Schizosaccharomyces pombe: one gene and its partner. The gene in region 2 interacts genetically with the main gene of each other region. Each region holds a gene or a part of one and is shown on either strand. Other genes may lie near its edges.

Evidence for each region. Genes that interact genetically often act in the same process or in processes that back each other up.
Region 1: mutations in psu2 (region 2) and aga1 together harm fitness more than expected from each alone (negative genetic interaction), as found in Schizosaccharomyces pombe (one large-scale study listed by BioGRID).

What each region holds. Positions count from the first base shown.
Region 1 is NC_003423.3:336,395-340,154, forward strand, and holds the start of aga1 (glutamate N-acetyltransferase), read right to left. Parts: upstream 1,887-3,760; 5' UTR 1,745-1,886; coding exon 407-1,744; 3' UTR 55-406; coding exon of another isoform or gene 1-54. Other genes in the region: mti2 (translation initiation factor IF-2Mt), read left to right, coding at 1-54.
Region 2 is NC_003423.3:3,464,658-3,472,539, forward strand, and holds psu2 (beta-glucosidase Psu2), read right to left. Parts: upstream 3,161-7,882; 5' UTR 2,873-3,160; coding exon 1,913-2,872; 3' UTR 1,613-1,912; downstream 1-1,612. Other genes in the region: mpi1 (mannose-6-phosphate isomerase), read left to right, coding at 208-333, 383-1,495; cullin 1 adaptor protein Pop1, read left to right, coding at 4,686-7,013; synaptonemal complex-associated protein hop1, read left to right, coding at 7,662-7,756, 7,805-7,882.

The DNA of each region.
Region 1 (3,760 bases), 3.1 Mb from region 2:
ACAGGGGATAAGCTACAAACATTTGTTGAGGAATACAAACCTCCTGATTTTTAGCATGCACTTCTTATTTAATCCTGGCTTGAACTCCTTTCAATTAAGGCAGGCAATCGAATGAAAAGATTCATGTTATTATGATATACTATGATTGATGTTACATGCATAATGAACTTTCGCTTAAAATTGCAAACTTCTACCATAAGCAAGCAAAGCTTTTTATACATACTTTTTTGTTAATGAATGCATCTCAGCAATCCTTTTTTTCTGTTAGACACGTATTGTAAACGAACGTCGTGTATGTTCATCAAATTGAATTGAAGAGTTTAAAGCTGTAAAAACATGAAGCTTTCTTGGTATCAAAGCGTAGAGCTCACTCTTGGTTAATTTGGTAACTGACCACTGTTCTTTTTTAACTGCGATAATCAGCATTAATACGAACATAGTCATACGAAAAATCGCAAGTCCAATTTGTTTTGGCATAAGGACCACATCCAAGATCAACGTCTACAGTGAGTTCGTCTTGCGATAATATTTCGCTAGCACGGGTCTCATCGACATTTTGTGGTTCACCATTTACTAAAAGCTTCAATGGTTCAGTTCCGTCTGCAGGAATAAAACTAACGGTCGTAGCAGGAGGATTGACAGCAGCACCTGAATAACCGACGGCACACAAAATACGACCCCAGTTAGCGTCCTCACCAAAGAATGCCGTTTTCACCAATGCAGAGTTACTAATGGTTGATGCCACCAACGCAGCGTCTTTCTCTGATCTAGCGCCTCTGACTTGCACAGTAACGAATTTCGTAGCACCCTCACCGTCACGGACAACCAGCTTTGCAAGTTGTTGAGCAATATCCGTTACAGCATCACGAATCTCCTTGTATGCAGGGGAAGACTTGGTAATCTCGGATCCACCAGCAGCTCCATTTGCAAGGAAGGCAATTGTATCATTTGTACTCGTATCACCATCAATACTGATAGAATTGAAACTGTTGTTAATTGCATGACGAAGTATAGATCGGACTGCATCAACTGAGATTGGGGCATCTGTAACAAACAAACCTAAAAGAGTGGCCAAGTTGGGATTGATCATACCTGCGCCCTTGGCAAAACCTGCAATCCTGTAGACTTTGCCTGCAATACTAAGTTCACGGGAAACGAGTTTAGGGAAAGTATCCGTAGTGCAAATGGCCTCAGCTGCTCTCATCCAGTATTCATGAGTGGACCCGAGGTCTTCAACCGCGTGTTCCAAACCGCTTTGAATCTTGTCTAACTTCAAACGTTGTCCAATAACACCAGTCGACATCACCAACGACGAGGGAAATTCCTCTGAATTCTCAGTCCACGAAGTCCAATGTGGACGAGTCAAATTATCAGCTTCGGCGGTAATGAGTTGGGCATCCATCAAACCGCCCTCACCAGTAACAGCGTTAGCGCAACCGCTATTGAACACGACACAGTGAATATCTTTACCGCCACAGCCGTTCAGAGTTTGGCGTGAAACTTGAACTGGAGCAGCTTGAAATGCATTCTTAGTAAAGACGGCTGCGGCGTTGCATGGTCGAGAGGAAAATAAAATGGCTAAATCCTTTTTTCCATTGGCTTTTACGCCGGAAGCAATACCATTTAAGCTGAAACCTTGTGGATACGTTCCAGATTTACTGATGAATTTGGTCTTGTCGGGCATCGTACCAACAAACCGAGCCCGACCAATGCCAGCAAGACGTGCAAAAATTTTGGTTTGCATAGCAATGAATTTAATGGTCAGTCTTGTAACAAAATCAGTGGATCCCTTTTTTAGTAGAATTGAACGAGCAGTTTAATAAAAGCTACAATAATGTAAACTTGCTTTGTATATAAATATATATATGCGATGGCGGTAGTGGTTTAAGAAGGATGAAGTCTGAATCTTCGAAGCGGTTATCAAGTGAAACTTGATAAGAAGATGGGAATGCTGCACAACAAAAGTAGGTATAGCGAACAACTAATTTGTTTGAAATTTATTATTCTTACGTTTAATTAATGATACTTTATGAGCCTTACGTTCGAAAGGATGAAAACAAGTAGCTCCCTAAACCTTACATTCGGGATTAGCTTTGCCTTCGTTTTCTCAGATCTACATTACAGAATATCAGTTATCCCTCTCATAATGTAGTGCAAAGAGAAGGGAAAAATGCTGGGATCTGTCTGTTCTGCTGCTTTTACACATTCATGAACATATAACTGATAGATTTTCAGTTTAATTGGGGCTGCTACCACTGTTTAATTTATTTGGTTGAGTTTCAAACAGCAAAGAAAAACTTCGTGAAATCGGCAAAGTCCAACCACCTCCAAGTTTTATTGCCTTTTTCAAACTTTTCATTGCTTTTTTTAAAAAAGAAAATACCAATTCATGCTTCCAACGCATCATTTCACAATCAAGACTTGCATGTAAATTTAAAGCCAGTTCATCAACATTTTACGTGAAAAATTTCAATTCCTTAAAGTGTGTTTTAAGCAAGAAATAGAATAATAATCTTTATAGTGTTTGATTTATTTCAATTTAACTCGTTTCATTCATTAATAGCTGTTCCTTGCGATTTCAAATTTGAAGGCATGTTGAATTTGGAAATTCTATGTGTTGCTATTCTCTTCTCTTTTTTAAAGAGAAATGTTTAAATAGTATTAATGGTTTTAACTATGCTCAAAAAAAGAGGGAGCACAGCACAACCGAAGACCAATGCAACATACCATTGTTGGAATTGAATTAGCTTGCTGTGGTTATTGTTTATTTTCAATTTTTTTTATGTTGGTTTGCAGGGTTTAACGAATGGTTTCAGCACGTTTTCAAACACTTTCATAGTTTAAACTGGTTCATCAATTTTAATCACAAATAAGCGTTTAAACAAACTGCGGGTTTTGTTTCGCATCAAACTTTCAAGTTTCACGTTTAATTCATTAACAAAATTTAATGTAGTTTAATCTGTTTCAGGAATACGTTTTAATATTGTTTCAACAATAGTTCAGGTACAGTCGTTTTATTTCTTTTCTGTTTCAGTCATTCGCAAAGTTTAAACATTGTAAGTGCTTTCAAGGATAACAATGCAGCCAAAAAGTGTACCAAAAAGAATTCAATTACAGTAGACAAAAAATGGAATCCATTTTTAAGTAGATTCCATCAGTCATAATAATAACTATCACTATCTAAGCTACTATTCATCCAAAAAAGAGACAAGGCTCACATAAACCAACTTGGGGGTTGGTTTAACTGGACCCCATCAAGAAATTTAACAGAGCTTAGAAGACAAGGTAAAAAGAAAAGTGGTACCGAATCCAGCTTTTTGAATGACCATTTCAAAATGTTGCAAGAAAACAACGTTTCTTATAATATTCCAAATTAGAAAAAAACGAACAAACCACAACACAAAGAAAGAGACATTCAACCAACTAAAGCGATCTTGCATGCATATTCCGTCTTACAATAGTAAAAGAGAAGTGCTTTTAAATCAAGACGGCAGAAGATTGACCAACATTTTAATACCCACTAAGTCTGTTTACCTCCCTTGTTTCGCAGACTTCATCGACTATTTATAGGAATTTCCAATGCATAGTGAAAGAAACTCAATTCTGTCCAATAATTTAGTTCACGCCTACTTAAATGACGTAGTTTATAAAAGCTCCAATGCTTTGTTAGTTTACTGAAAGAAGAGCCAATCAAATATTAGCAAGCGACTGATAGCATAAACAAACGAAAGCCTAAGCCTTGGTAATATAAGATACCTTT
Region 2 (7,882 bases):
TATGATTAAAAATATACATAAATTACCGCTAAAATAAAAATAATGAACTATAGTATTGGCTATAACCATATGCATTATGTGCTTCCTTAGTTTTGAAGGTAAGGTTCATCTAGTAGCACGTATCCACGCTATAAGCCGTCGTTCATCGTATAATTCGTTCTCACAGCCAAATAAAGGCTTATAAAGAAATCTTGAATTTAATTAATTATGTATCGTCTCAAATGTGATGTTAAAAGTTATGGATGGGGAAAAGTTGGTCACGAGTCTTTAGCCGCGAAATTAGCTGAGGCTGGATACGGTTTCGAGGTTGATCCTAATACCCCATACGCTGAGGTATGCAAAAGGCTTGGTTAATTCTATACTAATTGAATTTTCTATACAGTTGTGGATGGGTTCTCATCCTTCTGGCCCTTCCTTTGTTATGCAAACTGGTAAGCCGTTGAGTGAGTTGTTAACTCCAGAAACCGTTGGAGAAAAAGTGTACAAGAAATATGGGAAACAACTCCCCTTTTTATTCAAAGTTTTATCGATAAATAAGGTGCTGTCTATTCAGGCTCATCCTGACAAACCCCTTGGTAAACAACTTCACAAAACGAATCCGAAAGAGTACAAGGACGATAATCATAAGCCAGAAATGGCAGTTGCATTGACAGAATTCGACGCTCTTTGTGGTTTTCGACCAGTAAAGCAAATCGAACAGTTCCTTGACAGTATAGCTCCTTTGCGTGAATTTGTCGGTGAAGAAGCTGTTCGTCAATTTAAAGGTACCGTGAAGCAAGACGAGAGAAAAGCATTGGAAACTTTATTTAATGAGTTAATGCACAAAGACGAAAAAAGGATTCAAGAATTTACTCCTCAGCTTGTTCAACTAGCAAAAAGTGATGCTAACAACTTTGGTGGAACGGAATACGGCGGAAAAGCATTTAGCGATTTAATTATTCATCTCAATAGTCAATTTCCGGATGACATCGGATTATTTGTTACTCCTTTTCTTAACTACGTTCGATTACATCCAGGAGAAGCCGTTTTTCTTCGTGCCTTAGATCCACATGCTTATGTTTCTGGAAATATAATTGAGTGCATGGCTGCCAGTGATAACGTTATCCGTCTTGGCTTTACGCCAAAGTTTAAGGACATAGAAACTCTCGTAAATAATCTCACTTATCAGACTGCGGATGCCAAATCCCAACTTACCCAACCTGTACCATTTGCCAAAGCTTGTGGATCTGGCAAAACTCTGTTATATGATCCCCCGATCGAAGAGTTTAGCATTTTGCAAACCAAGGTTTCTCCTGGTCAAAAACAATGCATACGCGGAATCAATGGCCCTAGCATTTTACTTGTTACTGAGGGTTCAGGCATATTGAATGGAGACAAAGGAGATGTAGCATCGATATCTCCTGGATTTGTTTATTTTATTTCCGCAAATTTTCCATTAACGATCTCTGCGACTTCAGAACCTGTTGTCGTTTACCAGGCATTCTGTGAGATTTAGTTACTCTGCAGCTTTTTACTACTATCAGCACCATTATAATAAAACAATACATGGAATTTTTAAATTTTTAACGATACTGGATAGGATGGACAAAATTAAGTAAAAACAAATTTATTTTTTCGTAGATGCAATGCATAAATAATGAGCGTTTTTAAGAAATGTAACAAAATGTAGAGAAGAAATATAGACAAAAAAATGAAATGAAGAAGATGAACCCCAAAAATAAAATAAAAAATGAATCCAGAAGAAAAATGAAAAAAATGAAAAAAATAAAAAAAATGAAACCAGAAAAAAAATGCGAAAACTAATCAACAACGAAATAAAGCATAAAAATGGGAATGACAAAAGTAAAACGAATGCAAAAATAATTCTAATAAACAAATTTTTTTGACCAAGCATCCACTTTTAACACGCAATTTAGTACAACTCAAAGTAGGCATTGCCTCCGGTGACAGAGACTGTACAACCACTGCTGTCAGCGGTGGAACCATGGAATGATCCGTCTTCATAGTAGCAATCACCACTAAGGGACCCACCATCAGATTTAATACGGATATTGTAATCAAGTTTAGCAGATGATAAAGGATTGAAAGACATAGAAAGCCAAGTCTTGCCGTCAGTGTAACCAGACCCGAAGTTCATAGGAGCCCAATTGCCATAATCATCGCCCTCATTACCCCAAACACAGACATCTTCTGCACTTCTGCCAGATTTATTAACATAGTATTGAGCGGATGTCTTCTTTCCTCCCCAATTATAGTATGAATCTTCATCAACATCAGAAAGAGGTTGTTTTGAACCACCATCAATATTGGTAGGGATATTCATGTTCTCAGTTCCGGGGTAATCGGTACGGCAAATTGCGACATTGGAACTCAATGTATTTTTAACATAGGCAGTACCCTTTCCATCTTCACAAAGATTAGAATTATCCTTCTGGGTGAGATATAATTTACCGTTCTTGCAATACAAACCACCAACGGAAACGCCATTGTCAGGCTGCTCAGACGGCCATTGGGTCTTAGACATTCCGGGCTTGCATGCATAGGAACAGTATGTGTTATCTTGGCATGTAGAAGCTGTTCCGTATTTACCATCATTCTTCTGAACACCAGACCATCCTCCAAAACCTAAGTAATCAAGGCGGACAACGCCATTTTGATCATCAGGAAAAGAGGAGCAGTCGTATACGCCGTCAGGAAAACCACCGTCTCTTTTTGAAAAAGCGGTAGTGTTTGTGACATTGACACCAACAGTTATATTGCTAGCATTCAAACCGGCATGATGGTGATGGTGATAGGGAGCATTACCAAGAGGCATAGCTGAAACCAAAGGAATGGCGGAAACCGCAAAACAAAGAAAGTTGTTAAAGAGCATTTTTAGATTTAAAAGATTTGACAGGAATCTAACGATTGACTTTATAAACGATAGGATATGCTAGTAACTTGATACTAGAAAATAAAAGAAAGATGGTAAAGAATATAATGGTCTTTACCTTTTGCGGTTCTGATTGTTTAATTTCAGCTCACGGCTTTTCCCTAAAAATCAGCTCAGCTTTATATACATTTCTTTTTTCAAGCACTTCACCATCTTTTGATTAAGAGCCGTGGCGTTTTGCCACTAATTAACCATGAAAGCCTGTAAGTTTTCAACGTTGATTTTTTCAGAAAATTTCTAACCATAAACCCGAAATAATTAGCGCCAAAACAGTCAACTATTGCGCTCCAATCATTGCTTGCCTTGCTATCGGCTTTGTATTCATTGGCTGATAACTTAATTAAAAATGAACTTAAAAGTCAGTTGATAAATTCAACCAATTAAATGCGTGAATTTGATCTACCCCAGGAAAATTTATACTGTCCCGGGGTCGCGGGGCGTTCAATCATTCATTTCAAAGCAAATTATTATTATTTCCAAGCCAAGTAATTTAATTTTTGTTTATCGCTTTAGCTTTCTTATCATAAGGAAGTTCTTGGTCCCCTGGGCCTTTTGCAATTGAATTGCGCGGTGTACGTAAGCCTAATGACATCCCTGTATACCTAACTTACAAATACGTTGGCTCGACTCAACGTTATATTGATTTTCTCCTAATACTATTAAATATATTTAATAATCTCTTGGGAAAGTAATCTGGTACATACAAATCATCCTAGATATAAGAGGCTCGGTGCATTTCGGCAAATGATGTTCTGCAGCTCATTAAATATGATATAATATTAATTAATTAATATCGTGTTTACACTCGGTTTATCGGTTTGCTATGCTAAGAACTTTTACGGATAACAATTTAATTATTTATCTTGGTAGCGTATTTGACGCTTCTTTGGATACTGAGATTAAGTCAAATTTTGAATGGAGAGAAGTCGAATAATAGCCCAATGCCTGCCGAAATTACCCGATGCATGTCATTGACGAGACAAAAAATTTCTTTCAACGGCCTAAGAAAATGATGTACTAGAAACGCCATCTTAGTCTGACATTTTACATTTTACGCTCATGCTCAAATTTTATTAATAAATTATTATATGTGTCCGTGTCATTTAGAATATGACAGGGGAGGGTAATCTCTTTCCCAACTTTATTGGCGTGTAATGAAATTCGCGAGCTACTATTGTGTCTGCATTCTTTAGCTGCAAAAACGCAACGGAAAAGACAATTTTATAATATGAATACTTCACGTGTTCATTGTTTTTGTCTTTAGAGAATTTATTTGAAAATGCTGAGGAGGTTAATATCTGGTATACAATTAAAACACTATCGCAAATAATGTAAAAAAAAATAATATTGAGGAGCCATAACTAAGTCATATAACTTTTCTTATTGAACTATTGTTATGTCGCGATTTAGTCGTATTTACCATAAACTATAAAAACTTTTCTTAATCAACAGTAAAATTGTTACTTATTCTGGTGTTACTTACACCTCCGCTTGCGTAGAGTGAATTTAAAATTCATTGCCAAGAGTTTATGGTCTTTACGATCTATCTCGCTGAACTTCAAAAAAACCAAGAAAAAGTATTGCTCTAATGCATTAAGACGATAACTATTTGCAAAATAATTTCATATACATGTTTCCCAACGGGCAGTTGTTTTAAGTAAATTCATCAGTATCGATTCTTGAACCAGGTTCTCTAACATCATAAAAGAACTTGACAAATACTTTTCTACTAAGTGTCTGTAAACTACTTGAAATGAATGAGAAGAAAAAAGATAGCCTATCTGTTTTAGATTCCAATGAATTTTTCGGTGAGACAACTATGGTATCACCGAGTATTGATGTTTCCTCTTCTCCCCGGCCAAATGTCGAGAGATTTTCTCCATGTTCCACTAAAAAAGATCTCCTGGAAGGAAATAATATAATGACCAGAATTCCCGAGGAGCTTAGTCGTGTTAGTCTACAATTTGATAGCAAGGGAAGTCAGCAATCGATGATATTTACTAACAATCGATGTTTATCTGATAAAGAAAATTTGGAAAACTTGCAAAATCTTTTATATCTACATTGTGATCTTAACCGGCCCCATTTGAGTTGTGAGCTGCCGTCAGAGCATCGCGAAAAGTGCCTTAAACGCCGTAACTCTAGTCTCAGCTCTAATTTGCATGCTAATAAGCGGTTTCTCTTCAATTCTCAAAGTGATGGGAATAAAAAGAATGAAACTTTTCCTTCTACTAACTACTCGAACGTTTTCTACCCAAACAACTGTGACAGTAAGGAAGTCGCTAGTGAAACAACATTCTCACTTGATGCACCAAATAATTCTGTTAATTACTCTTATTTTTCTCCTAATTTACTCGGCAACGATTCCAAAACCCGTCAATCTTTTCCCCCTCATTCATCTTCATCTTCACATAATTCTTTGCATGAACCTGTCATATATGATTTTTCTTCAGAAAATCCTAGCATTCATCCTTCTAATCATTTGAGCTCTCAAAAAAATGCTGTTTTGAAATTAGCACAATTAATTTCTTCCTTCGAAAAATTACCCGAAAGTGTTCGTCAATACTTACTTTTTCATCTTCTTTCTCGATGTGGAAAACATGCTGTTCAAAATATTCACAAAATTCTGCTTCCTATCTTTCAAAAGAACTTTTTAACTGGATTTCCGGCTGAGATTACAAATTTAGTGCTTACGCATTTAGATGCACCTTCATTGTGTGCAGTTTCGCAAGTTTCGCATCACTGGTATAAGTTGGTATCGTCCAACGAAGAACTTTGGAAAAGTCTCTTTTTAAAAGATGGTTTCTTTTGGGATTCAATTGATAGTAAAATCCGTACGATGTGTTTAGAACAATCTTTGTCAGCCTGTGCGATAATGAAGCGGGTCTATTTTAGACATTTTAATCTTCGTGAAAGATGGCTCCATGCCCCGGAGAAAATTAAGCGATGTTCATTCCCAATTCATGGAGTTCGTCTTATTACCAAACTTCAGTTTGATGATGACAAAATAATTGTTAGCACCTGCAGTCCTAGAATTAATATATATGACACGAAAACAGGTGTCCTGATACGCAGTTTAGAAGAGCATGAAGGTGATGTTTGGACTTTTGAATACGTTGGGGATACTTTGGTTACTGGCTCCACAGACAGGACAGTAAGAGTCTGGGACCTTAGAACCGGTGAATGTAAACAGGTGTTTTATGGACACACGTCAACAATCCGTTGTATCAAAATAGTTCAAGGCAATCAAAGTACTACTGATACTGATGATGTGGAAAAAGAAAACAGACCAGCTTCAAATGATGCTAATTCAATGCCTCCGTATATAATTTCAAGTTCAAGGGATTGTACGATCCGTTTATGGAGTCTTCCATGCCTTGACGATCCACCATTTGTTAATGTAAATGAAAATCCTGATCAGAATAATGACTTTACTTCAGCTACGACCAATCCGTTTTACATCCGAACATTACGTGGTCATACGGACTCGGTACGTGAAGTTGCTTGTCTTGGAGATTTGATTGTCAGTGCCAGTTATGATGGTACTCTTAGAGTATGGAAGGCATCTACTGGCGTTTGTTTACATGTTCTTCGGGGACACGTCGGGAGAGTATACAGTGTCACAATTAATCCTTCTCGTCAACAATGTATCAGCGCTGGTACGGATGCTAAAATTCGTATTTGGAACCTTGAGTCTGGAGAACTTCTACAGACCCTTCATGGTCATTCGAATTTGGTAAGTCAAGTTACATTTAACCAAAATATCTTGGTATCCGCTTCTGCTCCTCCTGATACATCGTTGAGAGTTTGGGATCTAAACACCGGAAGTTGTCGAGATATTTTAAAATGTCCTTTGGGACACATATTTTTTCAACACGACGAGAGCAAAGTTGTCAGTGGAAGCCATAGTACGCTACAGTTATGGGACATTCGTTCCGGAAAGTTAGTAAGAGACCTATTGACTGATTTGGATATAATCTGGCAAGTTGCTTATAATGAAAATGTATGTGTGGCTGCTGTTTTAAGAAATAACCGTTTTTGGATCGAGGTCCTAGAGTTTGGATCTACTAAATCTTCTTGAGCTTTTATAAGTTGAGATACTAGAAATCTATAAAAGATCTCGAAATTTTATTTTACGTTTCCAAACTGAAATAGATTCATGCTATTTATTCTGGAAACTCCTCTATCATATAATATTTGTCTAATTGTTTGTTGACTTTTAAATGTTTACTCATAATTTTCTTTTTTAAATATCTAATAAGAATGCAAAATAATATTTTTTTAAATGATCTATTCTACATTTATAAATTATTTAGTGTTAAATTCGTTTGTTGAGGCCAAAATTTTTTTACCAAAGGGATAAGCGAATTTCTTGAATCCTTAGCTTCAAATAGCGTCCATTCTACCCAAAAGCGTACTATATTTTTATAATTAGCAAACTATAGTAAATAAAAAAACAAACATTTTAGCTTTGTAAATGTAAAAAGACATTTAATTTAACAAAAGGCTTTTACATTACTTCATAAGCTACCAAATGTCTTCATCGTAAAACATGCTTTTCGCATTCCATTTATCTATGTAAGCCATTTTAGTGTAGTTTAAAGTGTTGGAAAACCACAGGTGGGACTGTAATATACGTACACTTAAGACGCGTTCGACGCGTTCACAAAATTACCATATATAGATATCAACTTATCAAATACCCTTTACTTCTAAGTATAAATGACAAATGAATTCATACAAAGAGGAAATTCTGCAAACTAAGTCTGACTTTACTCTTAAAAATTTAATTTTCTTCGCGATATCAACATTATGCTATAAGCGGTACGCAGACATATAATTTTTAAATTAAAATAGCTAACAGAAGGCAAGTGCTCTTTTCAATGAAAACTGCTACAAGAAAGTCAATTTCGAAATTGAACATTTTAAAGGAGCTGACTTTGATTGTCA